Drosophila melanogaster: one gene and its partners. Changing the gene in region 2 together with the main gene of any one other region gives a genetic interaction. Each region holds a gene or a part of one and is shown on either strand. Other genes may lie near its edges. The genes, in order: parvin, Eip93F and Ets21C.

What was found.
Region 1: of Eip93F (region 2) and parvin, changing one enhances a phenotype caused by changing the other (phenotypic enhancement), as found in Drosophila melanogaster (one study listed by BioGRID).
Region 3: of Eip93F (region 2) and Ets21C, changing one suppresses a phenotype caused by changing the other (phenotypic suppression), as found in Drosophila melanogaster (one study listed by BioGRID).

What each region holds. Positions count from the first base shown.
Region 1 is NC_004354.4:19,741,516-19,752,195, forward strand, and holds parvin (parvin), read left to right. Parts: upstream 1-4,525; 5' UTR 4,526-4,673; coding exon 4,674-4,794; exon of another isoform or gene 4,795-4,972; intron 4,973-5,126; coding exon 5,127-5,216; intron 5,217-5,295; coding exon 5,296-5,567; intron 5,568-5,734; coding exon 5,735-6,355; 3' UTR 6,356-6,943; downstream 6,944-10,680. Other genes in the region: CG18809 (uncharacterized protein), read right to left, coding at 265-1,353; Rpp20 (ribonuclease P protein subunit p20), read left to right, coding at 3,014-3,166, 3,240-3,590; CG33932 (uncharacterized protein), read left to right, coding at 3,592-4,038; Alr (augmenter of liver regeneration), read left to right, coding at 7,398-7,793, 7,873-8,114, 8,174-8,336; Abcd3 (ATP binding cassette subfamily D member 3), read left to right, coding at 9,919-10,031.
Region 2 is NT_033777.3:21,945,290-21,955,784, forward strand, and holds the start of Eip93F (Ecdysone-induced protein 93F), read left to right. Parts: upstream 1-3,824; 5' UTR 3,825-4,113; intron 4,114-4,350; 5' UTR 4,351-4,583; intron 4,584-10,495.
Region 3 is NT_033779.5:549,115-560,066, forward strand, and holds the start of Ets21C (Ets at 21C), read right to left. Parts: upstream 3,341-10,952; 5' UTR 2,744-3,340; coding exon 2,044-2,743; intron 389-2,043; exon of another isoform or gene 102-388; coding exon of another isoform or gene 1-101. Other genes in the region: rempA (reduced mechanoreceptor potential A), read right to left, coding at 4,823-5,160, 5,222-6,332, 6,396-8,551, 8,608-8,768, 8,829-9,427, 9,502-9,648; Tspo (translocator protein), read left to right, coding at 10,585-10,923.

The DNA of each region.
Region 1 (10,680 bases), on a different chromosome or scaffold from region 2:
TACAAATTACACTGCTCGCGCTTGCAGCTCATAAGCCCACCCACTCTCGACTAAAACTATAAGCTACGCATCTCTGCTCGCTTGTTTTCGTGTACAAAACATTTCAAAGGGGCCGGGAAGGGATCGCTATGTGATGGTGTCTCGGGAACAGGGGTATGGTCGAATCAAAATCGAATCTGCAGTACTGCGTCTGGGCAGTATACGTTTCTCGCTCTTTTTGCGTTCAAGTTCATGTTTCTATGGAAAGCGCGACTATTTCGGCGACTACTTGACCAGCGGCCGCTTGCCGTTGTCCGTATCGCAGGCGTTGCTCTTGTACTTGTTGACCTCGGCCAGGTACAACGACCAGAAGTCCTTCGGGTCCACGTCGCTCTCATTGGGCGTCTTCACTTTGGCCACTACGCCAGTTTTGAGAACTTTTCCGCCGCGACGTCGTCCCACGATGGGTGGCGGCGGCGCCAGCTTTCCGGCCGCCGCGGCAGCAATGTACGGCGCCGCAGCACTGCTGGCAGCTCCCAATGCAATGGCCGGCAGTGCAGGCCCTGTGGAGGCCGCCTCCGGCGGAACCAACTGCTGCTGCAGGACCTCTTTGACCGATGGCTGCATCAACTGGCTGGTCGCTTGCTGCTTTTGGCCCTCCTGCATCTTCTTAAACAGCTCCATGAACGAGCCGTCGTTGGCGAAGACAGGATGCGATGGTGGCTCAGGCTTTGGCGGCGGATACACTTTGCCCTCCCTGGCCAGTGCTTCGCGCAGCTTCTGCTCCATTTCGCGGTGGATGCGCTCCTTGTCAAAGGGCTCGTCGGTGTCCAGGTTGTAGTAGGCGCCCACCGCGGACGCGGCACTGCTCTTGCCAGCCAACTGGACTTGATTTGTGGCGGCGGCAGCTGCAGCGGCTGCCTTCTGTACGGCGCTTAGCTCCGATTTACTGGATGATGATGCATGGTGGCCTCTTCGTTGACTGTTGTTGGATCCATGGCCAATGTCAGAAGAGGACGGCGATTCCGAGCGTCGATAGTGGCTGGAGCGCCTTGAGTGGTCCCTATCGCGATCACGTTCGCGATCCCTAGAGCGATCTCGGGAGCGATCTCGGGAGCGATCTCTGGAGTCGCGGTCTCTGTGGTAACGGGATGACTGCCGTTTCTGGTGGCGGCGACGCTGGCCAAAGCGTTCGGCGGAGCGGCTGCGACTGCGGGAACGCGAACGGCTGCGACTGTAGCGACTGTGCTCTCGTCTGGAGGATCCGGAACCAGAGCCACGCTCGTAGTAGCCGCGCTGATGGCCGCGTGCGGCGCGCCGCTGGTGGCCGTCCTCCTGATCCCGCTGATAGTAGGGCAGGCGGGCCGCCGACATGTCGGGTGTGGATGTAGTGATGATCTGCAAATCGAAACTGTGCCGCGTTAAATCGAGCAGTTGACAGAGGCGCGTTTACGAAATACCTATACACAAGATCTGTATACTTTGTAATCAGTTAGCGTTTTGTTCTTTTTTTGGATCTGCGTCTCGGTTCGGTTCGGTACGGTTCGATTCTATTCTTTTCTGTTCGGTTTGGCGCGTGTCAGAATCTTGAATGGAGAACCAAGAATCGATAATCGAGAATCTAGCATTATTTTCGAGCACTGTCTTGACTTGGCTGGCGCTGGCTCCTTGACCGGGCCGAATCAGAATCAAAATCGGGTTGACTTGGGTGACATTGGGTACGGATTCGGGAGCCGGAACTCCAACCAAGTGGACGGGCGATAAGTAATGCTCGCGACAAGTAATGCTTCACTGCGCAGACGCGACTCTTATGCAATTTGGATACTCAGACTTGGATTTGGATGCATTGATTTGATTTGGACTCGATTTGATTTGATTCGATTCGATTTGATTGGATTGGTACTTGGCTGGCAGATTTCTGTTTGATAAAATGAGAAATGGTAATTTACTTGTTTGCGATGTCCGCTGCGGTGGAAGTGGATGTGGAAGGTGGTGTTGCTCCAACGTTGCGGCTACGTTACGTTATCATCCGTGGATGTTGTTCGTGCTGCTCGCCGTTGCTGCTGCTGTGGATGCGGAGGAGTCCTTCCGTTTGGCTGGCTACGTGCGAATCAGTGCGATTCAGCTTGTTAGCCTTTTAGCTTTTAGTGGCGATTTGTGCTTAACTCTTGACTGTTTGCGACTCTGAAACGTATCGGATTTTCGGATTCGCCTGCATGGAAAAATGACTTGAACGCATGAATACAAAACGTTACTCGAACCAGGACGCGCTGTGCAGGGGGTTTGATCTGATCTGATTTGAGTTGAGTTTTCTTTCTGGCTACAAAATAGTGGCTACGTTAAGGGGACTGTTTCTGTTCGCTTTCCGTTGCAACCCCTCGGTGGCGGGCGGTGACTTATGTAACCCTGGGGATCCGTACGCCCATTCGGTTACGGATCCATTTGGTGGGGGCCAACTTACGCAGGAAGATGCAGACCCGGCCCGCCCCTCATCAAACAACTCACCCCGACAGACATGACTACCCCGAGTGCATCAGCGAGTTATGTAACTTGTACTTTTTTCTTTCTTCTTTTCCTGCTGCCCGAGGAATTCGCCAGCGGAAGTGTGTAAGTGCGCTAGTGTATGTGTGTGTGTGTGCGAGTGTTGCGATTTGGAGTGGCGAAGTGGCGCCGCGCGGCCAAGTTAATTCTTGCTTTGGATGGCATCGATCGGTGCCTTGGCTTACGGTCTGGTGTACTTGATAAGGTGCCAAAACGAAAAACATACCTTTGTTGTTACGAGAGTACGACGAAAAATTTTCAACTGGCGAGAATCTCACGAGCCTGGCGATAGCTATAGCGATGGGCTGGCTCAAAACTATCGAGAGCTGTCACGGTGACAGCTAGAGCCAGGCTGCCAGATCGCTCAGCTATTGCCTAGTGTTCGCTAGAGTTGGCCAGTGTTGGCCAGCGTGCGATTCGGAATGGAGTCGCGAGTCCGAAACTGCGACACGCGCAGGTAAATGGAAAACACAAGTCGCCTCCTCCGCCGCTGATGATGGGAAGCAATTATCCCGAGCACGGGACCAAGCCGAGATCCGCCAAATACCACAAACAACAGAACCACCGAGTGGTGCGCAAGCAGCCGCCGCGTCCCGCTGTTAGCGACCGCCACAACATCTACATCACCAGCAAGACAGACTTTAAGGCAAGTAGAACTGAACTCATGCTGGATGGTGAATCGCCCATGTGCTAAGTGACAGAGTCCATCTCCTTGACAGGCCCAGCAGCGCCGCTGCGAGGAGCTGATTAACTCCGGCGCCCACGAGATCTTTCTGCATTGCATGGGCTTCTCCGTAACCCGCGGCCTCAATATCGCCCTACGCCTCGTCCAGAATTCTGACGGCGCCCTTAGCTACGCCATCAACACCTCCACCGTTCAGCTGGTGGACGAACTGCACCCGCTGTGCGATGCCGAGGACATAACCTTCCGCCAGCGCAACAACTCGGCCCTGCACATCAAGATCCTCAATAACAGTCTCTTCGACATCGCCGTGCCGCAACCGTCGCAGTCCCAGACGCAAGCCCAGTCCCTGGGCCAGTTCCGAGGCAAGGCGAAGGCCAGGCAGTAGCATGTTCAAACTCTCGGAGCTGGTGCGCTGGCTGGGGCTCACCGAGTTCGAGATTCTGGTCAATCTGTGCGGCCTGCTGGTGTTCACCATCACGCTGACCGTCAAGCTCCATCTGCAGGCCAGGGCCGGACCCGGTGGCATACTCCCGGAGCCCATGGGCGACTGGTTCACCGTCTTCAGCCCCCTGTTCTTCATCGACATCTGCAACGCGTACTTTTGCGTCATTGTGGGCATCCGCATGTACCTGGACTCTAACAACAAGCGCAAAGCCCTGCATCGCTTCATGTGGAGCACGTATTTCCTGGTGCTCATCGCCATCTTCAAGTACCTGCTCTGCCTGAAGCTATCCAGCAAGACGGGCCTCGAGTATTCGGAGGTCTTCTCGCCGATCTTCGTTCTGTTGCAGCTCGTGGCTGTGCGCGCCTGCCAGTTGCCCAACTCCATCTAAACCATAGACGTAGTATAGCCCTAGTTCCGTATTATACATATATGTAACTATTCTGAAAGCCTTTAAATCATTGGATTGGTAGTTATCTGTATACGCAATGTGGTACAATAATTTTTAAGCGGTACGAAATTTATCTTTCTGGATATAGCATATCTAATATATACGAATTATATCTGATCTGATTCGGTATGAAGGACATACATACATACATATGTTGTTGTGCTTTTTAATCAATGATCTAATGATCTACGCATTATAATTTTTTTAAAATTTCCAACAATTTAATTTGATGTACAAATTCAAAAACTATTAAGCTGATATGAATTTCTTCTAGCTGTTGTTGTCAAAAGCCACATTTTTTTTAAATTATAAATGAAAAATAACATTTAAGCTCATTGTTTTAATTTAATCTAAGGTCTTTTTAAACAATTTTTATAATTGGCAATTTAGTTTTTATTCGATTTTTTTGGAAGTTTCTCTTGAGTCCGAACGCCAGTGTTGGACAACATGTGTGGTGGGCCTGCGATCAGGTGGCAGCCCCAAGGGAAACTGATTGCTCAGCTCCGCCCGAAACGAATCGAAACAATAACACAAACTGTTCACTTAGTCCGGAATTCTTGGAATCCAGCAGCACCATGTCCACACTGAACCGCCCTAAATCCCCGCACACGCCCACCGCCATTAAAAAGGGCGAGAAGGAGGACAGCTTCTGGGACAAGTTCAGCACTTTGGGCCGCAAACGCGGCACCCGCGAAGGTAAGTCCACTTGATGATTGGAGCTCTCCAGATGGCTATTGTCGGCCAGGAATTGATGGGTATCCCAGAGTATTCCATTCTTGGACCCCTGAACCTCCGAAAAGTGGCCCAAAATGACCCAATGGATCCTCCCCCTGCGCACTGGAAGCTCTTCTGGGAACAGATGTGCGGATGCGCTGATTAATCAGAACATTGCGTCACTGTTGACCCACACAAGCAAACGGCGCTGATAATCGAGAGTGTGTGCGTTTGTGTGAGATGGCCTTGTGTCGTCACCGTTTTTGTTTACCTTGTTGATACCCTAAATACGCATCCGCTTGCTCCATTTGCAGTGAAGAAGGTCCAAGAGGAGGGCAAGTACGCCATCGACTCGCCTGGATCGCCCAGCCAGTATGACATCCCGCCGGAGGACTATGCCCTGCGTAAGTGCATTCGTTTTGAAGGGGCATCTCCTCGTATACCCATCGCATTTCCCACAACTCATCACATTTGATCCTACAGGCGAGCACGAACAGCGCGCCGTCATCGATCCACAGTCCATCAGTGATCCCCAGGTGATAAAGCTGCAGCGCATCCTCGTCGACTGGATCAACGACGAGCTGGCCGAGCAGCGCATAATTGTTCAGCACCTGGAAGAGGACATGTATGACGGCCAGGTGCTGCACAAGCTGTGGGAGAAGCTCACCGGCAAGAAGCTGGACGTTCCTGAGGTCACCCAGTCAGAGCAGGGCCAGCACGAGAAGCTCAACATCGTCCTGAAGGCCGTCAACCATGTAAGTAGTAGTAGTTTATGTTTTGCAGGATTTAAAAATCGGAGTTACCAACATTTAATTATTTATCCATTCTTAAAGTCGAATAGAATAATTTTTATTCGATTTACAATTAACATTCCCTTTTCTCGCGATATAAGAATAAATTTTATCCTTGCCCACACCCACAGACACTCGGCTTTCACCAAAAGATTCCCAAGTGGTCGGTGGCCAGCGTGCACTCGAAGAACATTGTGGCCATATTACATCTGCTGGTGGCACTGGTGCGTCACTTCCGGGCGCCCGTTCGCCTGCCAGAGAACGTGTTCGTGACCGTCGTGATTGCGGAGAAGAATGCGGGCGTGCTGAACGCGCAGAAGTTCCAGGAGCAGATAACGTCCGAGTACGACGACCTGGGCATGCGCTGCGAAAAGGACGCCTTCGACACGCTGATCGACTGTGCGCCGGACAAGCTGGCCGTGGTGAAGAAGTCCTTGATCACGTTCGTGAACAAGCACCTGGCCAAGCTGAACTTTGAGATCAGCGATCTGAACACGGACTTTCGCGACGGCGTATACCTGTGCCTGCTGATGGGCCTGCTCGGTGGATTCTTTGTGCCGCTGCACGAGTTCCATTTGACGCCGCAGGACGTGGATCAGATGGTCAGCAACGTGGCCTTCGCCTTCGACCTGATGCAGGACGTGGGCCTGCCCAAACCAAAGGCGCGGCCGGAGGACATCGTGAACATGGACCTCAAGTCCACCCTGCGCGTCCTATACAGCCTGTTCACCATGTTCAGGGACTTCGCCTGAGTGAAACCCGGATGGAACGAGCCAGCGGGTTGCAGGAGCAACAAGCGGCGCCAATTTTACATTTTATATTAACTTTTTGATAGTGTTTACACGCCTAATTTATGTGCGTTCTCGAAACTGATTGTAGGCGATGCAGCGGTTAAAGCTTACTGATCCTAACTCTCAAAACCACAACTAAATGCTGCGTCGCGTATAATCAGCCCAAGGAATGTTTATATATATATATATATATTTATGTGTCGTACGTCTAACCACTGCGATCTGCTCCAGATTCAGATTGCTCGGAACAGGAAGGAGCAGAGCAGAGCAGAGCTAACCCAAACCCAAAATCCGGCGGCCAGTTGTTAACTTGTCTTACTCACGTGCCAGACGTTGTAGTTGTTACTAAGTGAATTTATTGTATTAATACATTATTTGAACACAATAACCGAGATTGTGCCTTTAGATCACACAGAGCTTTTGCAAATTATGTCACAGATCAGATTTTAACGCTGTAAATGTAGAAGTTTACGGAAAAGTCTTAAAAAAAAATTTTATTGTGTACGTTAAAAATTTGGATCAGAAAAATCAATAAATATTGCCAATAGCATATGTGTTATTCTATTTTAAACAGTTCCAAGGCGCAAAATTTATCTGGGGCTGCAGCACTCACAAACGCCAGCTTCCATCCTATTCACATGTAAGTTCTTTCGAGCGTCTCGAATTGATTGAGAAACAAACCTTAGTAATTTTCTGAACGCTGTGCTATTTGAATTGTCGCGGTTGCGCGCGCAACTCGCAACGGTCTGGTATCGATCACAGCTGCGAGCAGGCTGCCAGATCGCTTCCCGTTCGGGAACGATTTCGCATCGATTTTCGATTGCTGGCCGGTATAATTTGAAAATGTTACTTTGCTGACCGGATTTTGGTCCTTGGCCAGATGTTGGCCATGAATCTAAAAGCCAGTATTTAGTAACTTGCGTTGATTGCAGCCGCTTAACTAAGCCGCTTAGCCAGATATGTCCTAATGTTATGTGTTTCGTTTCGAAACAAGGTGGCAACCATGCGCATGCTTTTTATGATTTTCACAATAGCCGAGCGAAGTTTCAAGATTCTAGAACTACCCACCACACCAACGCTTCTGCTGCGCCGCCAGTCCCACAACTACGGCTACGACTACATCAGCCCCACGCACATCGAACTCAGCCGGGAAGCAACTCGCCTGGTAATTCGCCGTCTGCAGCGCACCGTTCTCCGCCTGATCCGTGACCCGGACTTCATCATGTCTGCCGAGGCGAATCCCGAGATGGATAAGGAGCACCACGAGTCCCCATTCGCAGCGAACCGCAAGGCCGGTGCCAGCGGCGCCGGCAAACAGGACTCGAACTGCCGCACCTGCAACGATTTCAAGTCGTGGTCCAAGCAGCAACGCCTCATCTCCAACGTGCAGAGCGCCAAGGTGACGTGATCGCGTTGGCCACTTCGCCTTCGCAAGCAGGACGATAACACAAGAATCTCCCACTTTCATACTCCTCCAGGTGAAGCACATGGCCGCCGCCGAAAAGCTGACCGTCAACGCCGCCGAAGATCCGCTGCCCCGCGACGACTGCCCGCTGGACAAGGTGAGGCTGGGAATTTCCACCTGGGGACTGCTCCACACCATGGCCGCCTTTTACTCGGACAACCCCACGGACACCGAGAAGCGCGACATGAAGACCTTTTTTGAGGTTCTGTCGCGCCTTTACCCCTGCGAGTTTTGCGCCAAGGACTTTCGCACCGAGTAAGTGCATCTTCAATCCATTTGAAAACGCTGACACTTTAGCTGGACCTCTGTTGCAGCCTGGACGTCAACCCCATCAATGTGAACTCCCAAAAGGAGCTAGCACTGTGGCTGTGCAAGTTCCACAACCGAGTGAACGACAAACTGGGCAAACCGCTCTTCGATTGCACCAAGGTGAACGAGAGGTGGCGCGACGGCTGGCTAGACGGCTCCTGCGACTAGGCGCCGCAGCTAACCAGCGCCGAGAAGCCCCGTCTCCCGCCCGTTGCAGGTTGCCATGTTGACCAGACTTTGTCCCACATTTTGCTCGGCTGGCCCACAACTACAACCACGGAACACGGGACTCCTGCTCGGCGGTGTACCGCCGCCAACCCGAAACTGTGCCCTGTTTCTGGCCAGAGGCCATGCCCACCAGTCGGAACCTGCGTCAGCGTGACATTAAATTGAGTTATGTTGTAATAGAGCGACACATCGAAGGTCCATTGTTAAATGATTTGCTGGCTATGAACTCCATTAGAATATACACATTATGTTGAGGACCCGTATTATGCCTTCTCACTGGCCCTGCAGATATCGCAATCTCTAATCTGCCGACTGGCGTTTATTAGATTAGAATGGGGAAGGCAAATGCTTTCCACTTCGATAAGATGGGAGTGGAAAGATCTAAAGCGGAGTTGGAATACAATGCTTAGTTGGTTCGAAATTAGGGGATTTGGCTGATACTTATATAGTTTTTAGATTTCCTTTCTATAATACCTAAAGGACTAAAGGTCTTAAAATTTGTCTGCTCTGGTTATATTTTTTAATATTTAACTTAATTTTTTTTTGCAATCAACGAAACATTAACATTTTATTCATTTAACATTTTAATATGCTTAACATAAGAGATATAAAAATTAGTGGAATTTTCGTAAGAGTAAGCCATTATATGATTTACTTATATAACATGATTGCTCAGCAATAGTTTAGGTAGTTTAAGCGGGGAAATTTAAATTTGGCTAATTTAAAATATTTAATACCTCAAATTTAGATGAACGATATTTTCGATTCATAATTATCGGTGATAACTTGTTCGATAGCTCTTCGTTCAGAAATAGCCAGATTTGGCGGCGAAATAGCTGCCCCCGCAGCGCCGCTGCCCGCACATTGTCGTGGTAGCCAACACTAGCGCACATCGCACTACAGTTAGTTGCCTGCTGGCTTTTGCGCGTCGCACGTATCACTTCGTCAGATTTCTCGATTTGGTCGAGCTGAGTAGAGTGTAATTACCAAACAAAGAAATGCGCCTGGCTCAAATTGAATAAATAAAAGCGCCCGCCGTGTGTGACAATCACTTTGCCCACCCCCTTTGGCCAGAAAAGGAGCGCCACTAGCAGCGGAGGAAGAAGCAGCAGCACCATCACCACCACCAGTTGTAGTACAGGAAGAAGAAGAAGCAGTTGCCCTGAAAGAGAGAGAGGGTGCGAGCGAGAGAGGACGAAGCTAAGACAGGGCTGTTCGACAACCAGGTGTTTACATCCTGCTATCCACCATCTGTGTGTGTGTGCATGTCTGTGTGTTGTGTCGTCATCAAACAGCCGATTAAAATATTGAAATCCGTGCAATAAACAATAGTGTCTGTTCCCCTTTCATACTTACTATTTATTATAATTTTTTTTTTTTAATTTTTTCCTTGTGCAAACCCCCTCCCCCCACGTGCGGTTAATCGAACACTGAAGTGCGAACGCGAAATTGCGAATTGTAAAATTCACAAGGTGCCCAATTTGAAGCCAAACGAGATCCGTAGCCACATCGCAATAGCAGAATGGCCCCGGCTCTAAGCAAATTGGCCAACAACCAGAGCGCCATCGTCGGCGTGGCGGGCATGACGGCGGCCCTCTGGATAATTGCCTACGGAAAGATGTCCAACAAGAAGCGGTAAGCCCCCCCTTGATCTTAATTACGGATAATTGTGGCTCAACCATGTTATTTATGTTGCCTGTGCAATATGCAATATTCTACGAACATCTTATTGCACAAGGTCTCGGTCTTGGCCATCGATGTGTCCGTGATATTGACTTGAGTTTTGGATCGCTGTGTATTTATGTACAAACAGATTTGTTTGCGGGACATACGATGCGATGCCACTATTGTGGGTCATCTGGCGGACTGCAAAAACTGGTTTTCCGATGGCCGTTTCTGCCACACTGTATGCACTTCCCCCTCATTGTAGTCCGGTTTCAATTGATTCGTCCAGCAGCCGCGCACAGTGGGCCGGACAGTTCGTTTGCAGCTCCAAATACTGTTCTTTTCAATTGTGTTACCCATTGCCATAATCTTATAATAAGTTTGGCGACCACCAGCTTACGTTTTGAAGATTCTCAAAAAGATATTTTTAAGTGCAGTCCCAATACAAAAAAAAAGTCAACAGATCATCGATTCATTTAAGTAGATGTGAACCAAAGTAGCTGGATCTGTTTGCAGTCTATCCCTATTATGTAGATATACTGATATCTAGGATAGGTCTGAATGTATATATTGTCTGGGAGGAATGGAGGAATTCCGCGTACTTAGCAGAAGGTAGACT
Region 2 (10,495 bases):
TCCTGCGCGGCACTTTGGCGCTTTTCATTTGGCCCAATCAAAAAGTGGACTTAGGAGATGTCAATTTGTATGCCCTTTTAAGAGGTGCCTTGATGCTTATATTTATATTCATTTATATTCATTTATTAAAATATAATAACAAAGTTTTTATTGAACACTAATTTCTAGAAATTATATATGACATTGATTGCGTTTTTCTTAAAATCTGAGTTCTTATTAATTCATTCAACAGTTTCTAGAACAGCTTGCATTTTCTTCGTCAGTTAGGCTCAATTCGATTCTATTGAACTTCATAATAACCGGAAATAATTTAAATAAAAGCAAATACAATTTTTGTATTTATTGCACTTCTTAATAGGGGTTTGATTACAATATATATTCTTGATATCGCAGTGCTTTAATTTAAAGGGTGTAGAAGACGTTATGCTAACTTTACTGATACCTTTCCATTCGTCAGCATATGAGGAAATGAATAATTTTGTTGGAAAAACGCACTTGAAGATTGTTCATTAATCGAGACGAAGAGTCTGGGCGTCCGGACCCTTAAGCCCTACGGCAGTCGACCCGCTCCTCCTCTTCTTCCTGTTCCAGCCGAAGCAAAGAGTATCTTCAAGATGCACAAAAATGCATTCTTTGTACTCGAGCCGCAGTGGTGTGCGTGATGCAACTGGGAGTGTGAGTGCGTGTGAGTGTCTGTGTTTGCACCCCTTTGGCTGTTTGCATTGCGTCAGGCCGTTGCATTTTAATTTTAGAATATATTTTTGGGTCTGGATTGCAGTTCAACTCGGCTTGCAGCTCAGCTTTCAATGCCCGTGCATACCGTGCGTTTCATTATAGACTGCACATGTGTGCGTGTGTGTGAGTGTGTGCGTTTTGCCTGCTGCATTTTTCATTATGCAAAAATTGCATACCATTTTTTTTTTTTGGGTACTTTTTTCCGATTTTTGTTTGCTTTTTTCGAAATGCATTCAACACAAATTGCACGTTTTGGTTCGTGCATCTTTTGTGTACAGAATGCAATTGCATTGGGGTGGATTTTTCAGTTGTGCAGTATCTCTCCCCCCTTTGCCCATCATTTCAACGACATTTTCGGGGGTTTTTGTCGCATTTGCTTACGTGGTTTTAATTTTAATTGCTTGGTCCGTCATTCATTCATTTTTTTTCCATATTTCGCTGCGCCTCCGCTGCACTTTTTCCTTTCGACAAGTTCGGGTCGTGTGCATGTTGTCGCCGATTTTATCTTTTGTAAATACAGCAATTATATGTGTTCCTTGATGGCGACATTATGTTTTGAAGTTCTGCTTTTTTCGGCTGCTCCTTGTTTTCGTATTGGTTTTTTTCTTTTCCTTTTTCGGGCATACTTGTGCCGAGTGCTTAAGTGCTTGAGAGGATGACGACGACTGGAGTTTCATAGCGGATGTGGGCATCAATCTGGGCCAGGGGTGGGCAGGACTTCAAGCTCAAAGGATAATTATGCAAGAGCGTATTTTGGTAGCTTTTCTGATTCACCGGAAGATGCAATTTAAAGCGGACGGTAAGTCCTTGAGAGTTCCTTTTTTCGATCAAGTGATTATCGTCGTATTTTGTCATGAAATAATATTTTATTCATATGGTCTCAATAACACTTTTTAATTGATTTGCAAATGTTAAATAAGCTTAGGTATCAATTTTCCCACCCCAATTTTGTCACTCCTCCCCAACCACACAAATGTCAGAGCTGTGCAAACCAGCTTCAAGGTCATTTGTGAGCGCAATTAAATGCACAAATATTTCGCTTATTAGAATAGCATTCGAAAAAAGCAATTGTGCCACAGCAAATAAAAACCAAAACAAATTACAAAACAGCAGAAAAAAAAGCGAAACCAACTAAACAATTACTATTTTTATTATACACGAATTTTGTTTCTTTCATTTACAATCATGCAAACACAAACAGCAAAAAAAAAAAAGCGGCACAAAAATTACAACGAAATTTTCGCATTAATTGAGGGACCTTGAAACCAGTCACGACTCAAAATTCTGGCAGAGACCAGGGGCCAGGCCCAGAGTATATCCCCCCAACAGCCCCTCAGTTGCCCCTCTTCTAGTTGCCCCTTCACCGCCCACATCTCATTCTCCATCGGTCCGGTCCATAAGTTGTTCCAGTCAACGCCAACGCCAAGTCAACGCCGAAAAAACTGCACAAAAAATAAGGAAAATAATAACAATAAAACTAAAAATATTTTCGTCTACAATGACATGCAATTGAGTCGCTGCAAGTCGACTCGAATTGCAGTCTGTTCTCAGTCGGTCATTTCCTCAGTTGGTCAGTCAGTCCGGTCGTCAGTTTCCCAGTTGTTCAGTCGCTAAGGTGCGCAATCAGTTCCTCGTTGGGGCTTTTGGTTAATAATAGGTACTCACTCAGTTTCTCAGTCAGTCAATGGGTAATTTTGGGGTTAGTCAGGCTATATTAAAGGCGATTATCTTATGTCTTGACAAAATGACTTTAATATAAAGTCTTGAAGTTCTTAGCAAACATAATTAGCTGGAAATGGCCTTATGAAAAATGTCAAAAATTTGACGATTTTTGATAACTCAAATAAAAATAACTATAAGAGAAGTCTGTGGGTTGGTATAATTTATAAGGCTTAACAAAGGTATTTGGGTTATAGAACTGATACGATTGTTTACTAAAAATAAGCTGTCTACTTTTACGACCCTCGAGTAGTGCACTATAACGATTCCCGGAAAAATGCAACGCTTATCTGGGCTCCAACCCAATTATCGATCGCTCAATCCTTGGGGGTCACCATCCATAGATCCTTTCCCGACTCTCTCACAAAAATCGCAATTCTTCAAAGTGGCAGCCCAAATGAATTATTTTAGTTTTCAGTACGCTCTGGCACTCGACATTCGCACCGAAAAAAGTGAAAAAACGAAAACAATACGAAAACAAAAAAGCTCAAAACCAAAATAAAAACTAAAAAAGTGCATGTGCAACGGTAGCCTACGTATTCCTCCCGCCGATTTCCGCGTGCCCCGCCGCTCCCCCGGCCGAGAAGAGCCTCCGTTGTGGGAAGTGGATGTGGAATATATAGACGTATAGCCGGCTCGGATCGGTTTGCTTCGTCGCTGGCCGCCAGTTGCATTTCGAGCGGTGAGTGAGCGCCTCCAGTGCCGAACGCTGGCGATTCGGACGCGGACCTAAAATCGAAAACCCACCAAAACTGAGGCTGAGCAGAAAGAAAAAAAAAATGAAATGCAAGCACCACTACTGGCAGCGAATCGTTGCAAATTTTTACAAACTCGAGAACAAAATGCTGCTTGAATAAAAAAATATGTGTGAAATTCTCAGAGAGCGTGCATTATGCATATGTGTGTGTGTGAGTGCGAGTCTCTGTGTGTGTGTGTGTGTGTGTGTGCAATTAAAAATTGCACTGTACTTGCTCTTGGCCTTTCCCGCGACTTGAGCGGAAAATCCAGCGCTCTCTGGGCCACCATTTTCTTTTTCTTCGCTTTTTTTCCAACGTCTACTTCTAGCCTCTTGCTGCTGTGGCTCTCTGTTAACCAATTTCGCTTTTAGCCTTTTTTTACCGGCTGCCATGAATGAAGGCACCCATACAGTTGCACGCAAGCCGGCTAACTCGCTCTCCCAACCTCTCGTTCTCTCTCCCTTCCGCTCCCTCTCGCTCTCATTGAGTGAGTTCTGCGAATGCACTTTTTGGCCGAGTGGAAATGCTGGCTTGCTTGTGTGCGTGAGTGCATCCGCTCGTCGAACGCGACTGCAGCGGTCTGCTCAGCTGTGGCAGCAGGCTGGCTTTAGCTTTATTGTCCGTCGGCTCGAGCGGTTCGCTTCGGTCCCGGCCCCGCTGATTTGGATTTGGATTCGGATTCTCGGTTTCTCGGTTTCTCGGCTTCACGCTTCCTCGGATTCTCGGTTTCTCGGATACTTGGCTACTCCGATAGTGGGATATTCTCGCCAGACTCGGCTTCTCTGCGAGATTCTCCATTCTCCTCACTGCCCAGACGGGCGATTCTTGTGCCCGACCGATTTGGGTTCGGATCGAAGGCGGCGTTCGCTGCTGCAGCGTTTGCCGGCGTCGCTGCCTGCGCTCTTGCGTATTAGTAACGTCGGTCTGTCAGTGTCAGTTGTTGTTGTTGTTGCTTGTTTGTTGTTGACGCTGGTCGCGGTGTGCGAATTTTTATTTATTTTCTACTCACACACACATACACAGACAGACACACACACACACGCACACGCACATGCACACTACCTTTAACATGCTTCCTCTTCCCGAGCGAAAACAACAACAACAGCAACTGAGAGAAAAACCTTTAACGTGCGTTTTTCTTATGACAAAAATTTTTTAGTTGACATGCCAGGCCACTAAAAACGAAAAAAAAAAATAAAAAAGTAAAAAGAGCTGAAAATGCAAAAGTGCTGTGACAACCACAAATAAATGATAGAAGGAAAAAAGTTTAATACATTAAAAACAAATACCACAAACAAAGTCAACGTTTTCATCGTACTGCAAAAAAACCACAAATTTTTTACATATTTACATTAATGAGCTTGTAAATATTGGGACGCATTGCCACGAAAAGTGAGTAAGAATTCTTTTTTAATCATTCCATTTATGTACATACATCAGAATGGGGAAAAAATTCATGAGCCAGCACTTTTGGGTTCTTTGTAAACATTACAAAAATTAATTAAATCATGTATGTTTCAATTAAATGTATTTTTTGTATTATAAAAATTGCATTTTGTCCTCACTCTCTCTCTCTCTCTCTTAACGGCTTACTAATTATCCTCAGTGTAGATATTTTCTTATCAATTCGGGTAGCGTATTTTCTGGGATTTCCCTGAATTATGTAGCTCCATTTGCATTATAATTAAATAACTAAGTTTACTAGAACTAACTAATGGGTGATTTATGCAAAAAATCAAATAACAAAATACTTGAGTGCTAAGTGTATAATTTAAATTACCCTGCATTAGTTTACAAAGAACCTTTCCGGATTTTCCCCAACTGCAACAAGTTTTTGAGCTGTATAGTTATTATTATACCTATGCCGTATCATGCATTTTCCAATTGTTTTGGGATCGGTTCCGTTGACTAAATCGGATGACTCTAAATGCCTGTGATTCATCTTAAATGATTGCACTGATTTGCTCACTTTCAAGATGTTCGTTGCTCATAAGAAATAATAATAGATCATTCTAGAATAGGGAATAATTTGATAAGAACTTATATGCGCCTTCGCTAAGTAATATTGAAAGAGGTAATTAAAGTCTTGTTACTCAAATGTATAGCAATTCGCGAAAATCAATCGAGTGTTTATGAAAAGCTGAAAAACTTTCCATCGTCTCAAGAAATCAACACAATTGCATTCGGAAGCCCAACAAGTGCCTCTAATGGGTGTATAGATACCACTGCCCCCTTCCAGCACCATCGTTATATTTGCTTTTCCAAACAATCTGTCACCTACAATGGACTTGAATGGGTTTTCCTTTATGAGGCACAAAAAAAAATACGCGGAAATCTTAACGACCAATTAATGCGCAAATATAAATGTCAACTTGAAATTTATTGAATTTGAATGAAAAATAATATGTATATATAACAATTAAAAAATAAAATAGAGAAAGACAAATGAAGTGGATGCGAATTAAGTGCGAGCGAATAATAAAAATTTCTAATTAATGCGCTTCTAATTTCAAGTTGACAGACGGAAAGCACTGCGCTTGATGTTTTTATTATTATTGTTTTTATATATGTAGATATTTCGCCAAGTGATTCGCTTTGTGCACAATTGCATTTGATTTCGAATAATTCATTTGCGGCGATTTATGACACAGTCTGACTGCCACATAGACGGAAAAAAATAAGACAATGAATCAGTCGATGGTATAAGGGGGATATAAAAGTGGGGGCAGACTGATGTGTCGCCCACGCGTCGCAATTTTCTTTTCACTCGCCGTTGTCCTTGAGGCTTTTCCGCATTTCACGACGGCGACAAGTTTTTAGCTTTAAATTGCCGCCGAGGCGACAGAAGCCAAGATGGATTGAAATTTAATTTCATGTTCTCAAATTGATTTGTGCGGATATCCATTAGTCATCCCGGCTTCTAGCCGCTGGCTTCTGGCCAGGATTAGCATTAGACGGGAGTGCAACAGGCGGGCAACATGCAACACACAGTCATCTGACTACCAGTCTGCCTTTCTTGGTGTGTGTGTATGTGTGTGTGCTGCACGTAAGAAACGAGTTATTGGAACAGGTTCATGACCTTGACCATCAACACAAGGCAGCAGCAACAACACGAGCAACACGGGCAACATCAGCGGCACAACGGCAATTGCAACACGGCCTCCTCATCTCGCCTCCTCCGGCAGACAAAAGGAAGTGGTTGCATCTGCATTTGCATTCGCCATTGTTCGCCTTGGATTGGATTAGATGTTGCAACAACAACAGCAGCAGCAAAAGCAACAGCAACAAGTTGCTGCCACTCCGGGAAGTCGGGCAGTAGTCGCCATGCATTTATCGCTCACTGAGTGAGTGACTCACACTCCAAAAGCCAAAAGGGTCTAGTGGGTCTATGTACATCTACGCTCAGGGAAATGCGTGATTCACTTTTATGGAAACTAAAAAGCCTGCACTTCTGTGAGTTGCCATTATATATATATATCAACTTTTATCGAAATTATGCATGCGTTTTGAGTGAATTTACCGCAACTACGCTTACTTTGAAATAATTAGGAATAAATTCAAAAAGACTACTTATATATTCAGCTTAGTTGTGGTGCTAATGTAATATGCATAATTATATCTCCTCATTTAGTAGAGAAATAATAGGTACAACTACATCAGTACTTTAAATAACCCTGATACTTTTGATTAATTAAGTAACTACACACTTAAAATGCTATATTTTGCCTTAAAAATTGGCTTAATTCTAAAATCAACTTAAAATTGTACGCAAATTGCTAACAACGAAATCCGACAGAGCTTAGTGTGATTTCAGTATTACCCCAATCCTCGTGTGGCTGGGAAAATGTTGTGAAAAAGAAACTGTTGCTCTGCTCGAAAGGACGCAGGATGGGTGTGTGGATGGGGGGATGGGGTATGGCTCCTGCAATTGGGAGGCTTTGGATTTTTTTGTGCTTATTTTTCGTATTTCGCTTCTTTCTCGCAGTTTTTTTTCGCATCTTCCTCATGCCACGCCACTATATAGTTTATATAGTTTGGTTGGATGGTGGGGCCACTGGAAGTGCACTGGAAGTACATAGCTGGTGCAACAGGCAGTTGTTGTTTCTAGCTGGCCGAGGAGATTGGGCTATGCTCCACATAGAAGGCGTGTCCCAAACGAGGATTCGGATTGGGAAGAATGAGGAACAGAGGAGCAAAGGAGCAAGGAGCAACGTGCAGAGGGGCAAGTGGGCAGGGGGAGGAAATGTTTTTAATTTAACTTTGGCCATGTCAAATCCCCTACGCAAAGAAAAGCTGAAAAACACTGGGCAACAGGTGGGGAAGACAATGGGAGTTGGTCAATTATGATTATGGCTTCCTCATTCCGCAGCCGCGACTGTAAAGTTTAAACAGCGCGGCGACCTTAATAGAGCCAATTGTGTGACGGCCATTGCGTTTGGCATTCCCCGCATTGTTGTCCAAAAACAAAATCGATATTTTCCATATGCATAAACACAATTGAACAAACAATTTTTAGGCGAGTGCAGCAACAGCGCACCGGCAATGCCAAACTGCCATATTGTCCTTGAGCTTATCACCTTTTGCACAGCAACGAAAAAAATTCCAAACAAAAAACTAGTCGGCAGCAACAAAAAAAAAAAAAAAAAATAACTAGCCAACAACATTCGCAAATATCAATTCAACTGTTTTCGCAAAAAAAAAAGAAATACAAAAAATTTGCGAAAAATAGAAAATGGAAATACAAAATAAACCTGCATACCAGTTTTTTCATATTTTCCAGCGTTTTTTTCGCAAATTATTTGTGGCATCATTTACTGAAAACAAACACGTTTGCCTCTATTTTTTAGATATTCCATAGAAAACTGAGCCATTTTATGATATTTTTCTTCTCAATATGGTTTGCATTGATTGTGTTTAAATTTCATAATTTCTTTTTTCAAGTTGTTATCTTAATTAATATTTTAAATGGCAAATAGGTTGTATTGAAGAAATAATAGAGAAATGAATTTTAAATAATCTGTAAAATAGGAATAACTAATATATACCACTTTACTAATCGAACCTTTGTTAAAGAGTTTCTAATTTGACTCAAAATCGACTTATTTAAAATTCTTATTCTTTGCTTATTTTTTGGGTTTTATGTTTGTATTTTGCCGTTGTCGATGCAACAATTAAATTCATAGAACTCTGCCCCTTTTCAGCTTACAAATAGTTTCAATTGCGGTTGAATTTTGACGATACTCACACGGACACGAATAACCCATACCTCAACAATTAGACAAGGACGGCTGGCGGCGGCAGAAAGAGAGGACAACACGCACGAACACTTGTATTGACGTTTGGTTGGCGACAATTGATTTTTGTTACGTTTTCGTTTATTTTCATTCCGCCATCGCTGTTTTTTTTTTTTTTTGCATTTTTTCAGCAATTTAGTTCGTTTGCTTTCTGGCTTCGTTATTTAGACAACTGCTGACAAAAAAAATATTTTCCTATTCCTCCGGTCCGCAATCGCGCCCTCTCTTTTCCTCCACCAGCGAGGCCACACACGCGCTGCACTTTGCTGCACCGCTCATAATTCCACTTTTTTTTGTTGCTCGTTTTTTGTCACATTTTTGTGGCAGTTTTTTATTTTCGCGAATTGCTTGAAAAACTTCTGGTCGCTTTGTCGGCCTGCGACTCAATTTCGTCTTATCTAATTTTTGTTTCTATTTCGCTTCTTTAGTTTACAACGCCTCTCTTTCTTCTTTTTTTTCAGTTTTGCAGTTTTCCATTTGTTTTTTTTTTGTTTGTTTTTGTGTCGAAATCAGGGCAAATTCATCATCATCAACAACATCGTCGCCTTGTTGTTTTCCTTCTTTTTTTTGTGTAACAAAGATAAGGTTTTTTGCTGGCAAACGAGCGAGTGTAGTGCTGCTGCTGCTGCTGCTGCCGCTTTTTATTCTTTATACAATTTCGAGACGAGGACTTTTCCGAGGGGTCGGACATTTTCGTGTTTGTCGAGTTAATCATTTCGGGCGAAATTTGATAATTTTGAAGGTGACCTCAATTTGTAAGCGGCGCTGCGAATCGCGAATCGGGGGACCCAAAGTCTTTTTTTTCGCAAATTGATAAGGCGGGCAAGAGTAATTGCAGCGATGCAACGGCGAGAAAAGCGACAGCCAATAAATAATCAAACCGAAAAAAATGGTGGAAGTCATAAACCCATAAAAACTGTAGTTTAACTAGCAACGGAAGTGAAGCGATAGTCATCAGCACTAACAAATATTAGCTCACTTAAACCAGAATACAATAAAGCTCTCAAAGAAACCGTGCCAAGAAAAGTTTTACAATTAACAAAAAAAAAAAGAGGTATATAAAGTGTAGAATGTCTAATGAAAATTAAAATAAAATTTAAGTATAACCGAAAGAACTTCTTTAATATTATAAAATGCACTCACGATGACAAATATGGCGATATCAAAAGGCGGTACTAAGGCGACCGATTTTAATATATATAAAAACTCAAATGTGATGCATTTGGCCTGCTCACATATTTATGAAAAAAGTGCATTTGCATCGCCGGTTAGCCAGGTGGCAATCCAAAGGTCGAAGTTAAGGGGAGGGAGTGGTGGCCAGGCAGGCAGGCAGCCAAAGAAGTCATCGCATATATCTTCAGGCAGTTTTAATAAAACCCGAAACTGACATCATAAAACAAGCAGCAGCAGATATGACACTCGACGTGGCACAGGTCGTATACGTAACCATACCAGCATACGGGGCGGATGGGTGCTTTGCTTCGGTTTGGTTTTGTCTTCTATGTGAGGGTGTTTAGTTGCTGGTGTTGGTAAACAAGCAGCCACACCCATGGTACACACAGACAAAGCAACAAGTCGTTGTACCCAAATATATAGTGCAAAATAAAAAAGTTGTGTGTCGGGGTATGGGAAATGTGGAGCGAATGGGATGGAATGGGTTGGGTGGTGGTGAAAACTAAATAAAATGAAAACGAAGACAGACTTCCAGAGAGCTGGGTGTTTAGGTGAGAGGAGGAACCCACACCACACCCGAACCCACACCCAACCATCCAATGGCAGCAGCCAAAAAACAAGCAAAGTCAGAGCAAAAAACAAAGTCCTGATGGGTTTGGGGTGGCTTTTTTGTGGGTGCTGCTGCTGTATTGGTAGCTGCCATTCCTGCTGTAGATGTTGCTGCTGCTGCTGTTCCTACTGCTGTTGCTGCTGCTGCTGCTACCTCCTGTTGCGCATATTGCAACGAAAAAGTTTCGTAACGTTATTTTCACATTTCCTGCAGATTGTAACGGGCAA
Region 3 (10,952 bases), on a different chromosome or scaffold from region 2:
TGCTGCCCAACTGGCGGGGCCGGCTGCATCCGGAGGCCAAAGCGCCGGTTGAAGTCCTCCGAGAGGCGCCACATGACGCCCACGTCCACGCTGACGCTCATGGTCGCAAAAGTCTTTTTCAGAAATTGCAAGTGCAAGTCACTAAACTATTTCCGTTTTAAACTTTAGTAAATATCTTCGATTAAGTCACATCAGCATTTGGATTATTTCTTAAAATAATCAATCGCATTTTACACTTTGCAGTTAGAAATTGTAAGCTTGTAAGCAATTTCTTTCTATTTGGTTAGCTATTATAGTTTAGGTTTGCTTTGAATGCTGCGTTGGATTGACCTTTGACCCGATTGGATTGTTCTATGACCATCAATGAAGGTCTATGCCGGGAGCGCGTCAACCGTTTAGGACGAGAGCCATTCGCCGACTGAAACTTTAGCCAGAAGCGCTGGCCGGATTTCGCTCCTTAGCACCGGACGGATGCCTGGCATCTGGCATCTTGGATGGGAGCATGGGCATCCGCGAAGCAGTCGAAGCTCCGGGCACGATTACGGCTCACCTGCGCAGCTGGTGGTAAATGCCGCTTCGGCATTTGCCAGGGAAGTCGCAAAGTCAGAGGCCACGTGCAGCCACTCAACCAGCACCCACCCCTTCGCACACGATAAGCAACTTGTTCTTTTGCAGCGTTTCGACTAATGCATACCCAGTTGCGAGTGGCTGGATATATTATAAGGTGGCAGGGGCGCGTCCGATGGATGATGGAACCAGAAAAGTATTCTGTTTGCGTGGGGAAATATATCCGAGTTTTTGGGAAATCATATGACTAATGGTTTCATTGGTATGTTCCTCAAGGTACGTACTATTGGTGGCTGTGGCATTGTGAACAGGGAATGGCTTTGATCCAGTTTGTACCCTGTAAAGGGGGCGGTGACTCAGACATGGGAGCCACAACCGTAGCCCACAACAAATGTAATCTGCGTGACGGCGACGACGCGTAATCCTGGTTGGCATAAAAAACAAATCAATTAAATCGACGTCGCCTGCTCCCGGGATCAAGGCATGTATGTGTAGTCCATGGAACACCCATCCACCAGCATATGCCAGACCCGAATCAGGGGGCTTTGCCCGCCCTGCACTTGCTCTTCCTGCCACAGGAAGGATGCGACGAATGAATATTTTCCTGTGCCCAAAAGCTGACCACCCGCAGAGCTGTTGTCACGGACAAACCACCCAACCCATCTCAGCTATCCAAGCCATCCAAACCACCCGACCTTCAGCCCACTTTTTCCGCCAAGCTGAAACTTGACTCGGCGACTTTTGTCGCTGGCGTGGGATTATTTTGATTTTATTATTAGATGCCACATCCTGCGAGAAATTATCATATTTACATCGTTTATTATTAAGTTCATCACTTGACGCGACCACCCACAAGGCCCTGACACGCCCCCCCCCCATCCCCCCCCAACGCCCATCGCCTTTGCGTTGGCAGTCATCGCCAGTTAATAACTGGAAAAGTGTTGCATACTTTGCTGCTGTCGCGCAGAGATTTTCCCAACGACTTACGTTAATGGAGTCTCGGAGAAAGTTGGCCAACTCGAGCGAAAGGTAATTAAAAGGGGATTTCCCGCACCTTCGGCCACTTTTCCTCCTTATCAAGACATCCGGAGAAGTGTGGGAGAAACAATCAATGGAGCACATAAGTTACAGCCGTATCAGCACGAAGGCATCTTAATCAGTGGCCATTTGGCCGGCGACGGAGGCAAAAGGATTCAATTGATGCCTGACCACAAAGGATTCGAGAGTCGGACAATCGCTCCGCTGGGAATAGCACGTGAACCCAATTACCAAGCAGTTCAATCTCTGGACTCTGCAGATTTATGTGGCCCGAGATTAGCTTGGGACAGTGAGAAAAATGTGGCTCCGTTTAAGTAGTTTTACTCGATTCTGGAAGGGTTGGCACTTCAGAAATAGGAATTCAAAGACTAAGCCATAAGAGGACATAGGCTAGGATTTGAAATCCCTCTTCAAATAAGCTCTATCTTAGGCACTCACTTGGTTCGTCGTCGTTGAGCATCGGACTCGTCTCCCGTCCGGTGGCGTGGTATAAGCTGATCGCGAAGTGCTGCGCCAGGAGCATGCCTCCGCGCCTTGATCCTGCACAGACCCAGAAGTCCGCGCGAGACAGATCGCACAGCTCCTGGGCATCCTTGGGAAACCTGTCGATATCCGGCTCCGGGTCCAGTTTGAACTTGCGCGTCGCCCATCTCACCCAGCTGGCAATGTCCTCGGGCGTCCAAGCGTGCGGATCCACGGGCACCTCCACGGGAGAGACGCTCCGGTTGGAGTCGCTGGAGTTCCTTCGAGGAGATGGCGCCTGGTGAGGCGATGAAACGGCGGGCGGAGTGGGTGTCGCCAGCGGGAGGGGCACTGGCAAGTTGAGGGCGGGTAATTGGCTTCTTATGCTACTGCTGCTGGTGGAGGACCCGGAATCCGAGTCTGTTGAGGAATATGAGGATGCGCTTGAGTCGCTGGTGGAGCTACTGCTGCAACGCCTTCTGCGTCTTCTTCTGTTGGTGGGAACTTCCGTCTCCTTCGCTTCCAGTTTGGTCTCGTTTCCGGATCCGATGCTTTTTTGCCGGACATCCTGATGCATGGCATTAATCGGCCTCTGTTGGCACCAAGCACTGCGAATCGTCTGGCTGATGATTGGGAGTTGCTTGTGGCTCTGGCGGCTATTCTGTAGAATGGCCATTAAGCTGGGATGTTCCTGCTCCCACTTCGAAAGTGCAATATCAGCTATTAGCTAAAGACTTTTGGTAGCTTTACCGTTTCACTTTTCTTTGACATTATTCGGTTGGCATATAAATTCATCTAATCTATATTTGCTTATTGTTTGATTTTCACTAAGATTTCATTATACCAGCTTGATTTTTGGTAAGTGCACTTAATTACACTTTATTGTTTATGTTTTTGGCGCCCTTTTGCACTACTAGAATATTCACTTCACTTTGGCCCTGTTTAATCATAATATTCTAGGAATCACACTTTCGCATTATTGCGTTTATTGGTAGCCTGCAACCGGTTGAAACGGATTTAGGATGTGTGTTCGTCTGGCTGGATGATTCACCCGAGATAGTCAGGGTATTTCACCTGCTGACCGGACAAGTGGAGTCAGCGGCAGGCTTTCCACGTGCCGCAAATCGCGGAAATCTTTCGCGGAAAGTTTGCGATTGGAAACGTTTAATAACCGTTATTGCATCGACCGATTACAGATCCGCCGATCGGGTTAAGAGTAGCGCCGTATTCCACTCCAGATCGCCGATCTTCGATCGCTCTGGCCCTGATCCGACCCACTTGGCGAGTGACGAACTAATGATCAGCGCCGGCGAACAGTGATAAAGCCATGACGAAGTCGGCTCCCATGAGCTTTCCACTTGGCGCTCTCTCGCCGACTCGGCTGCCCCATGACCAACCGGCTGACTTCGAGGGGCACTGGCTGCTCGGGACCAGTTTGCCGGCGGCGTTTGCCACTCGGCTCGCGAGCTTTCGCTCTCCGCAGTGCCCACTTATCGCTCGCTCGCAAAGCAAATAACAACCTTAAGCATGACGTCGTGAAACTGGCCTAGTCCGTATGAGTCACCCGTCCATTGAGCACAGCGATCGTCGATCGGCGGGAAGCCGACGGAGTTCCCCAGCCTTGTGTGTGGGCCACAGGGGGTGGCTCGGGTGGAAGGTCGTTTGGGGGCCAACGAAAATTCATTCATTCATCGATTCCCCTCCTATTTGGATTTGTTGTCTTGTTGCCTTTGCCGCGTCATTCTTCTGGGAAATCGGGCATGAGTCGTTAGTTGTCTGTGGTCCATGCCATGCCTACTTGGAATATCAGTTTATCTCTGTTCCGATATTTGGCAAAAGGTCGCTCCCAGAATGATATAAGATATATATAGATAGAAGATATAAATATAAATAATAAATAGTTATGTCATAATCGAGTGATACATGGTTTTCTCTACAAGCCTCCTATCCGCAGTTCATCCTTGTGCGCATTTTACTTCGTGACAAGTTCCAGTTAAGGGTCAGTATTTATAAAACTAAACCATTCCATATCCATATATGGTAATTATATTTGGGATCTAAATATCCAATTGCTTGACGTCGGTGACGTTTTCGATTTAGTTTATATCAGTTCGCCAACTGATTGCTCTTTCGATTGTTCCGAGTTTCGCTGGCTTCCTGGAAATGCCTCTGATTTCATACATAGCTGAGGACGCGGACGCTTTTGGGCAAGTGATTCACGGATGGCCGCTCTCTTTTGCTTTCCGACTGGCGCCGGCAGATCCGCCGATCCGAATCCGTATCGCTGTTTATATTTGCTTTGATGTGACGTCGGTCACTTGAACTCACATCCAAGTCATATACCTACATACATATACATATGTATGTTTCAGCACCGAAAGCTTTTACTAGGCTTGCGTACATCGTGAAGTTCATTCATAAAATTCCAAATGGCCCAAGCAAGGGATTTGTATACAATATAAGCAGAAATTTAAGCAGTCTTGTGAAATACAAATACAAGTTATACAAATACGTAACTTGTTCGTTTTGATTGAGAACTTTAAGATGCTTTCCACGATTTCTGTCATTGTATATACTTTCGTTTATGATCATTAATACTTAATATCTTAGCATAACTTAGTATCTGCTGGTTGAAACATTCCATTGTAGCCATTGCTTATCCAATTTAAAGGGAACTCTTTTGCCTATTTACTTGTTATCCGCTCTGCGGAACTGGGACGTGACTAGGTGCTGCATCGCCTATTAATTGAATCATCTAATGCAGCTCCTCGGTGATCTCCTCGTCATCGGCGTCGTCATCATCAGTAGTCGTCATCCCAGAAGTGCTGCTCATTCCAGTGGCGGCCGTACCGCTTGTGGAGGCGGTCACCTGGCGTCCCGCATTCCAGATGAGATCGAACTCCAAGTGGCACTCCTGCGCAATTTTGTGAACGATGCTGCGATCCAAGAGTCCCGAGGCACTCCACGTGCTGTCCTTCACGGTCAGCTCCTTCAAAGCTCTGCCCGCCTCAGAATAGTCCTTGACGTAGACCAGGGCTCGGATTAGCATGGCCAAGATATGGGCGTGGCGTATGGGCGGCAGTTCGGGTTTAACTTAATGTGAAAACAAAAGGTTATTAATGGAAGCTGAGTACACTCTAGGCCAGCGACTTACTCAGCATGCTGCGGCAGGAGCCAATGACCAGCTGGTGATCCCCCTCGCGCAACGCCTGCTGGATCTCCAGAATTGCCTTAACATCCGCGACCGTGCGCTGCAGATTGTTGTAGACGTGCTGGGCGTGGCTGAGCTTCTCCAGGCATTTGGAGGCTTCCTGCATGGCGGTTAGAGCCTTACCGTAATCCTGGAACTCCTCGATTTCGATCTGGGCGCAGATGGCATAAAAGTTGGCCAGCGAATCAAAGGCCTGGCCCTTTGTATAAAACGTGACTATGTGCTTGAGCACTTGCGGATCCGATTGCCAGTCCAAGGCTTGAAGATAGTTCGCAGCCATGATGTAGACCTCACGTTGCCTCGACATATTAGCGAAGAAAATAATTTTGTCGGTGTTGCCCGACTTCAAAAGACTCTTCATGGCGCGAATTTTGTCGCCAGCCTGGGTGAACTTCTTGGTGGCACTGTGATAGTCGCCCTGCTGCTGGAGGAACTCGCCCAGCTGTACGAGGATGTGGACTCGAGTCGCCTCCTCGAACTCCCCCTTCTCCGGAGTAAGCATCTCGGATAGTTCCTCCGTGACGGGTACGCCCTTCTCGGAACATATGCCCAATGCCCGTTCCAAATGTCTGGTCTTGGCCAGCAGATGCACGGCCTTCTGAAATTGCTCGATACTGCAAAAGAAATCCGCACAGCGGTTAATCAACTCGGCATCCGAATCGGGCGCTAGATCAGAGGCAATAATTTCCAGGATCTCTGGCTGCTGAGACTCAAATGCCATCTCGAGGGCCTTGTGGAGCATCCCGGCCCGATGGTAGAGTTCAACGGCGTGTTTAAAGTTTCCGCACTCTTCAAAGTAAGCTGCCGCAATTGCCTTGTCCCTCTGCCTTGACGAGCTGGCCACCGTCCATAGTTCCTCCTGAAAGTCGTTCTCCTTGCAGATGCGGATCGCATTGCTGAAGGTCTGGGCACGCGTAAAGAACATAATGGCCTCCTGGAACTTGCCCACGTTCTCGTAATGCCTCGCCAAGTGATAGCAGGCCGCCCGATCCCCCGACTGCCTGGCAATCGCGTCTGCCTTGGAGATCTTACCTAGGTAGCAGAGTATCTTTACCTTGAGAGGAACAGGATGTTAGTGTATAGTGTTTCGTGGTATCTTAAAGCCTTGCTAATTTACCTGCGAGAACCAGTCCTCCGCCTTGTGGTAGACAGCCAGAGCAGCATCCATGTCGCCGGAGCTCTCAATATACTGGCCCCACCATTTAAGCAGCTTGGGATCGCTGGTGGTCTGGATGTAGCGCTTCATGGCGCCAGGGTTTTCCAAAAGCAGTTGGGTAATATTTTGCGCTGGATTCTGGGTCTTTTCAAAGTACTCCAGAGCTCCCTTGATGTCACCCCTCTCTCGCAGCTCCTGTGCCTTTTGATAGTACGTGTGCTTCAGATGAATCCGATCCTCGGCCTCGGCCAGCTCTACTGCTTCATCCAAGTGCCCAATGGACTGGAGCAGCTTGTTTAGCAAATCGAAGCGCTTGCATCGACGATAAAGATCCTTGGCTTCCTCAATCATTCCGAGTTCTATCGCCAGCACAGCCACCTTGGCTTCCGTCTCCAGATCGTCATCTTCAATCGCTTGGCGTAAGGCACGAACGGAGCGGGCCTGTTCCAAGTGGCCCATGCACACCTTGGCCACGTCCAAGCGATTCGTGTGCACGCACATCTTAGCCAGATTTGTCCAGATCACTTTCGATTGAATCGAGCGAATGCTGCGATAAGCCATATCCATATTTCCCTCTGCGACGTAGAGACTGAAATTCAGGACTTGCTTCCTCGTAACTGGATTGCACTGCTGTAGGTCGACGAAGTCTTGCAGAGGTTGCTCCTCCATCGTATTGATCTTCAGCCGGATCACGTTGGGTACACAAAGGTTCAGTAGCTGGCAGCCTGGGCTCATGGATTGTGTTTCGAGGACATTCAGGCAGCCTTTCTCGGAATAAAACAAAAGGACGACTTTTGACTGCACAAAATGACTGGGTTGCAAGGAGTTCTTCTGGGGCAGGGTCTTCTGAATCATGGACTTGACTTCTGTAGCCAAGAGACGAGGTTCCTCTGCATCCCAGAAAATCCGAACCGGCAAACTTGTCGAAGACTCCTTCTTGGCGTTGGTTTCTGGCTCCAGTAGTCCATATTCAAGAAGATTGCTGCGCTCAAAGTCCCAGCAGAATAAAGTGGATATAGGGGTGAAATTGCTACTGGCTATCACCATGGCCAAGTGGCTGCCGGAGCTATTGCACTTGACCAGAATGAACTCCCCGAAGTCATCGAAAATGTCGTGACCCGATTTGCTGGGAAAGAGCAGCTTGGGATCGTGCCTAGAAACGTCGTAAGCTTTCACATATCCATTCATGGTAAATACCGAGAGATAGCAGCCACTCAAATCCATTCCAATGATCTTTCCTTCAATATCGCTTGCTTGAATGCGGTGAAGCACTACCCCTCCCACGGAGTAAACAAAAACGTCACTGCTACCCAAGCAAAATATGTTCTGGTTGCACAGATTCAAGGCTAAGCATTCGGCAGCAAAGGTCTGCAGGAGTTTCAGACTCAACGGAGTGGTGGTAGATTCCGTCGTCGGTGTTGTGCCCTCCACTGTCTGCAGGATCTCCTCGAACTCATCCAAGCTCTTCTCCACTTTCTGCAGGCTATAGGATGATATGCTCCTGCCATTACTCATCACCAAGCTCAGTTCACTCAAAGCCATGGCAGTCACGGCGAACTCGGACTGAACAATGGCCTCCCGACCGCTGCAGTGCGTCAATTGCACTGATTTGGCTGACCTCTGAACTGCCCACAGTTCGCGGGTATGAACGGCGAGCAGAGGTTGCTCCTTCAGCATGAAAACATTGGAAAGGCAGTTGACCAGCATGCAGGGCTTGGCTAGCTCATTGTATCCCCATTCGCAGCTGCGGATGGCTCCTCGCACGGAAGATATGTTCGTCAGCTGCCAGGCATCTTCGGGGGCACCGACTAGCCTGCTGCCGCTCCTCTTCCAAGTATAGACATTCCCCTGGGACGTTCCTGCACACAGAGTCTGTCCCGTAGAGCTATATGCCAAGCAGGTGAACATTTCGCCGTTCAGCTGGCCGTACTTTGGTGTCTTGCGGAGAACGCCGCTGCTTTCGCTGCTGTCATGGCTAAAGAATTGGTTGGACGAGGACATGGTGCCATTACTTAAAGTGGTCATAGATGAGCCTGGCTGGTTGCCACTGGGTAGGTCCATTTTCAATAGGTAATTGTCGCTTCTCTCGATGTCCCAAATGCGGACGAAAAAATCGCCTGAAAATTAGTCTTAAATTTAGCACAGAAGTGAAAAATCGAATAATATATCCTACCTGTTATGATGGCTAAAGAGTTTCCAGACCACGCGATGCCTCCCTGCCGACCGCCTCCACGTCCGCTCATTTTAACACGATCCAGCTCCGTAAGGATGCCTGTGGATTCAACCAAAAACAAGGTGACTGTCAAGTCCTCCATCAGGCAAATGACGGCGTCCCTAGAATGGAATAATGTTAGGGTTCAGGTAAAGAACCTTTCGATCTCAACAGCTCTTTACTTTCTTGGGTGCCACAACATCTGGACAATGGGAGGCAGTGATCCGCACTTCATCACCTCGACACAGGCGCCTCCTTGGTTGATGTAGTACACCACTCCTCCTTGGGTGCAAGCGTAGAAGCAGTGGTTGTCCCGCACCCCCGAATGGGTCATGCTCCGGGCTGCTGTGCGCGGTCTCCAATTGGTTAGGGTGTCCAGGGCGTTCTCATCGCCTGCCACAGCAGCCTTGGCTAGATTGGCCATCTCCTCGCGCACCTCACTCTCCACCGTAAGGCGGAAGCAGATCAGCAGCAACACCTCCCGCAGGTCGTGGGAGAACATGGTTAGGAACTGGTACTGGCCATCGCAGCGCCATCCGGTGACCAAGCCCATGGCATCCGCCGTGACCATCCGCCCGCCCTGCTCGCTGAACTGCAGCAGGACGATGGCCGCCTTGTGCGGTGCGTTCACGCTGGCAAACTCCCTGTGACCAGCGAACCACACATGGATGTCGCCGTGCTCCCAACCGCTGGCCAGGAGCGCCTTCTCCGGATGCCAGCATAGTGCCGTCGCTTGCGAAGTGGCGTGCACCGGATAAGTTACATCTCGCTGGGGCTCACCCTGCAATTTGATTATATAGATTATATACATTCCGATTTTTGGCAGGGTCTGCGACCAAAGCGATTAATACTGACGGTATCTGCAAAGATGGTCACTGAACCGCCTCTTTCGGGACTAAAAGAGGCCACTGCGAAGAGCGGCTCACTGGGATGCCAGCTGCTGATGGTGCTCACTGCATCCGAGTCCAAGAACTCGATTTTCGTGTCAAAGTAGAGAGTCATCACACCGGTTTTCCACCTTTAGTGGATGAATTTGTTTTGGCAGGAGCCAAAACACAGTAACAATGTGTTTGCCTAGCAACGGTTGTCATGGTTGCTCCTAAGCAATTGATTAATTGAGATACCAACTTGATCCAGGTTATTGGATATTGCAAAGAGCAAATAAGCACAATAGTTTTATTTCACCATTAATTCACTTTACCGACAAATAACTCTTTGGTTTATGAGTTCTCAAGTTATCATTCACCACTTGATCGCACGATTTGTCATGGGGTAAAACAAACAAACAAGCTAAACAAAACTTTTCCAGGGAATTTAATATGGTACTTCCCAACAATACAGTTCTATTTCTATTTTCAAAACTTAACGGGTTTTGTTAAATCTGCCTACCCACAGGGTGATTCCGACACCCAGCAGCGAAGATAATTTTAAATAAATACGAATGGGTAGATATAATTATAATAATTACTTCCATAGATCGACGACATTACTCATTCATTACATCATTTTGGAATCTATTGATAAGCATTATGCTCCTCCCCTGCACATGTGACAACCAGCTATTAACGGCTTAGCAATGACTTTGCAGCTTTGCCAAAATTCCAGATAAATATTAAATCCCTATTAATCAGATAGCATGTTAAAGAAAAACATGAGAATTCCTTCATGGCAGAAATCAAATGTTCACAGCTCTAAATAACCATGCGATTCTATTAATTAATTCTAGCGTCTTTGATTTCAAGTTGCATTCCACATACTTTAGCTAGTTTAAATCTAGCCAAATTGGCATCGCTGGAGCTTACCCACACAATCATCCGTCGCGTATTCGCCCCGTTAACTCGCAATACTCGTGCATTCGAATGAAATCACCGGCAAACAAAACAGTGAAACCAGAAGGTTCGCCACTACTGCGCCTCATTTGCAGTGCGAACTCTGAAAATGGCTGATCGTCCGTGTGCTGGAAACATTCTCCGCATCGCCGGGGCCGTGATTCTGCCCAATCTGGGCGGCATCTATAACGGGCGGCTGACCAGGCAGCATCTCCAGAGCTGGTACGCCAACCTTAAGTTCCCGTCCTTCAAGCCGCCCAACTCGGTCTTTGCGCCGATGTGGATCTCCTTGTACGCGGGAATGGGCTACGGCTCCTACCTGGTGTGGCGTGATGGCGGAGGCTTCGCCGGCGAGGCGGCCAAACTGCCCCTGATCGCGTACGGCACCCAGCTGGCCTTGAACTGGGCGTGGACGCCCATTTTCTTCGGGCAGCACAACATCAAGGGCGTGAGTACTGCTGATATCACCAAGCCCAG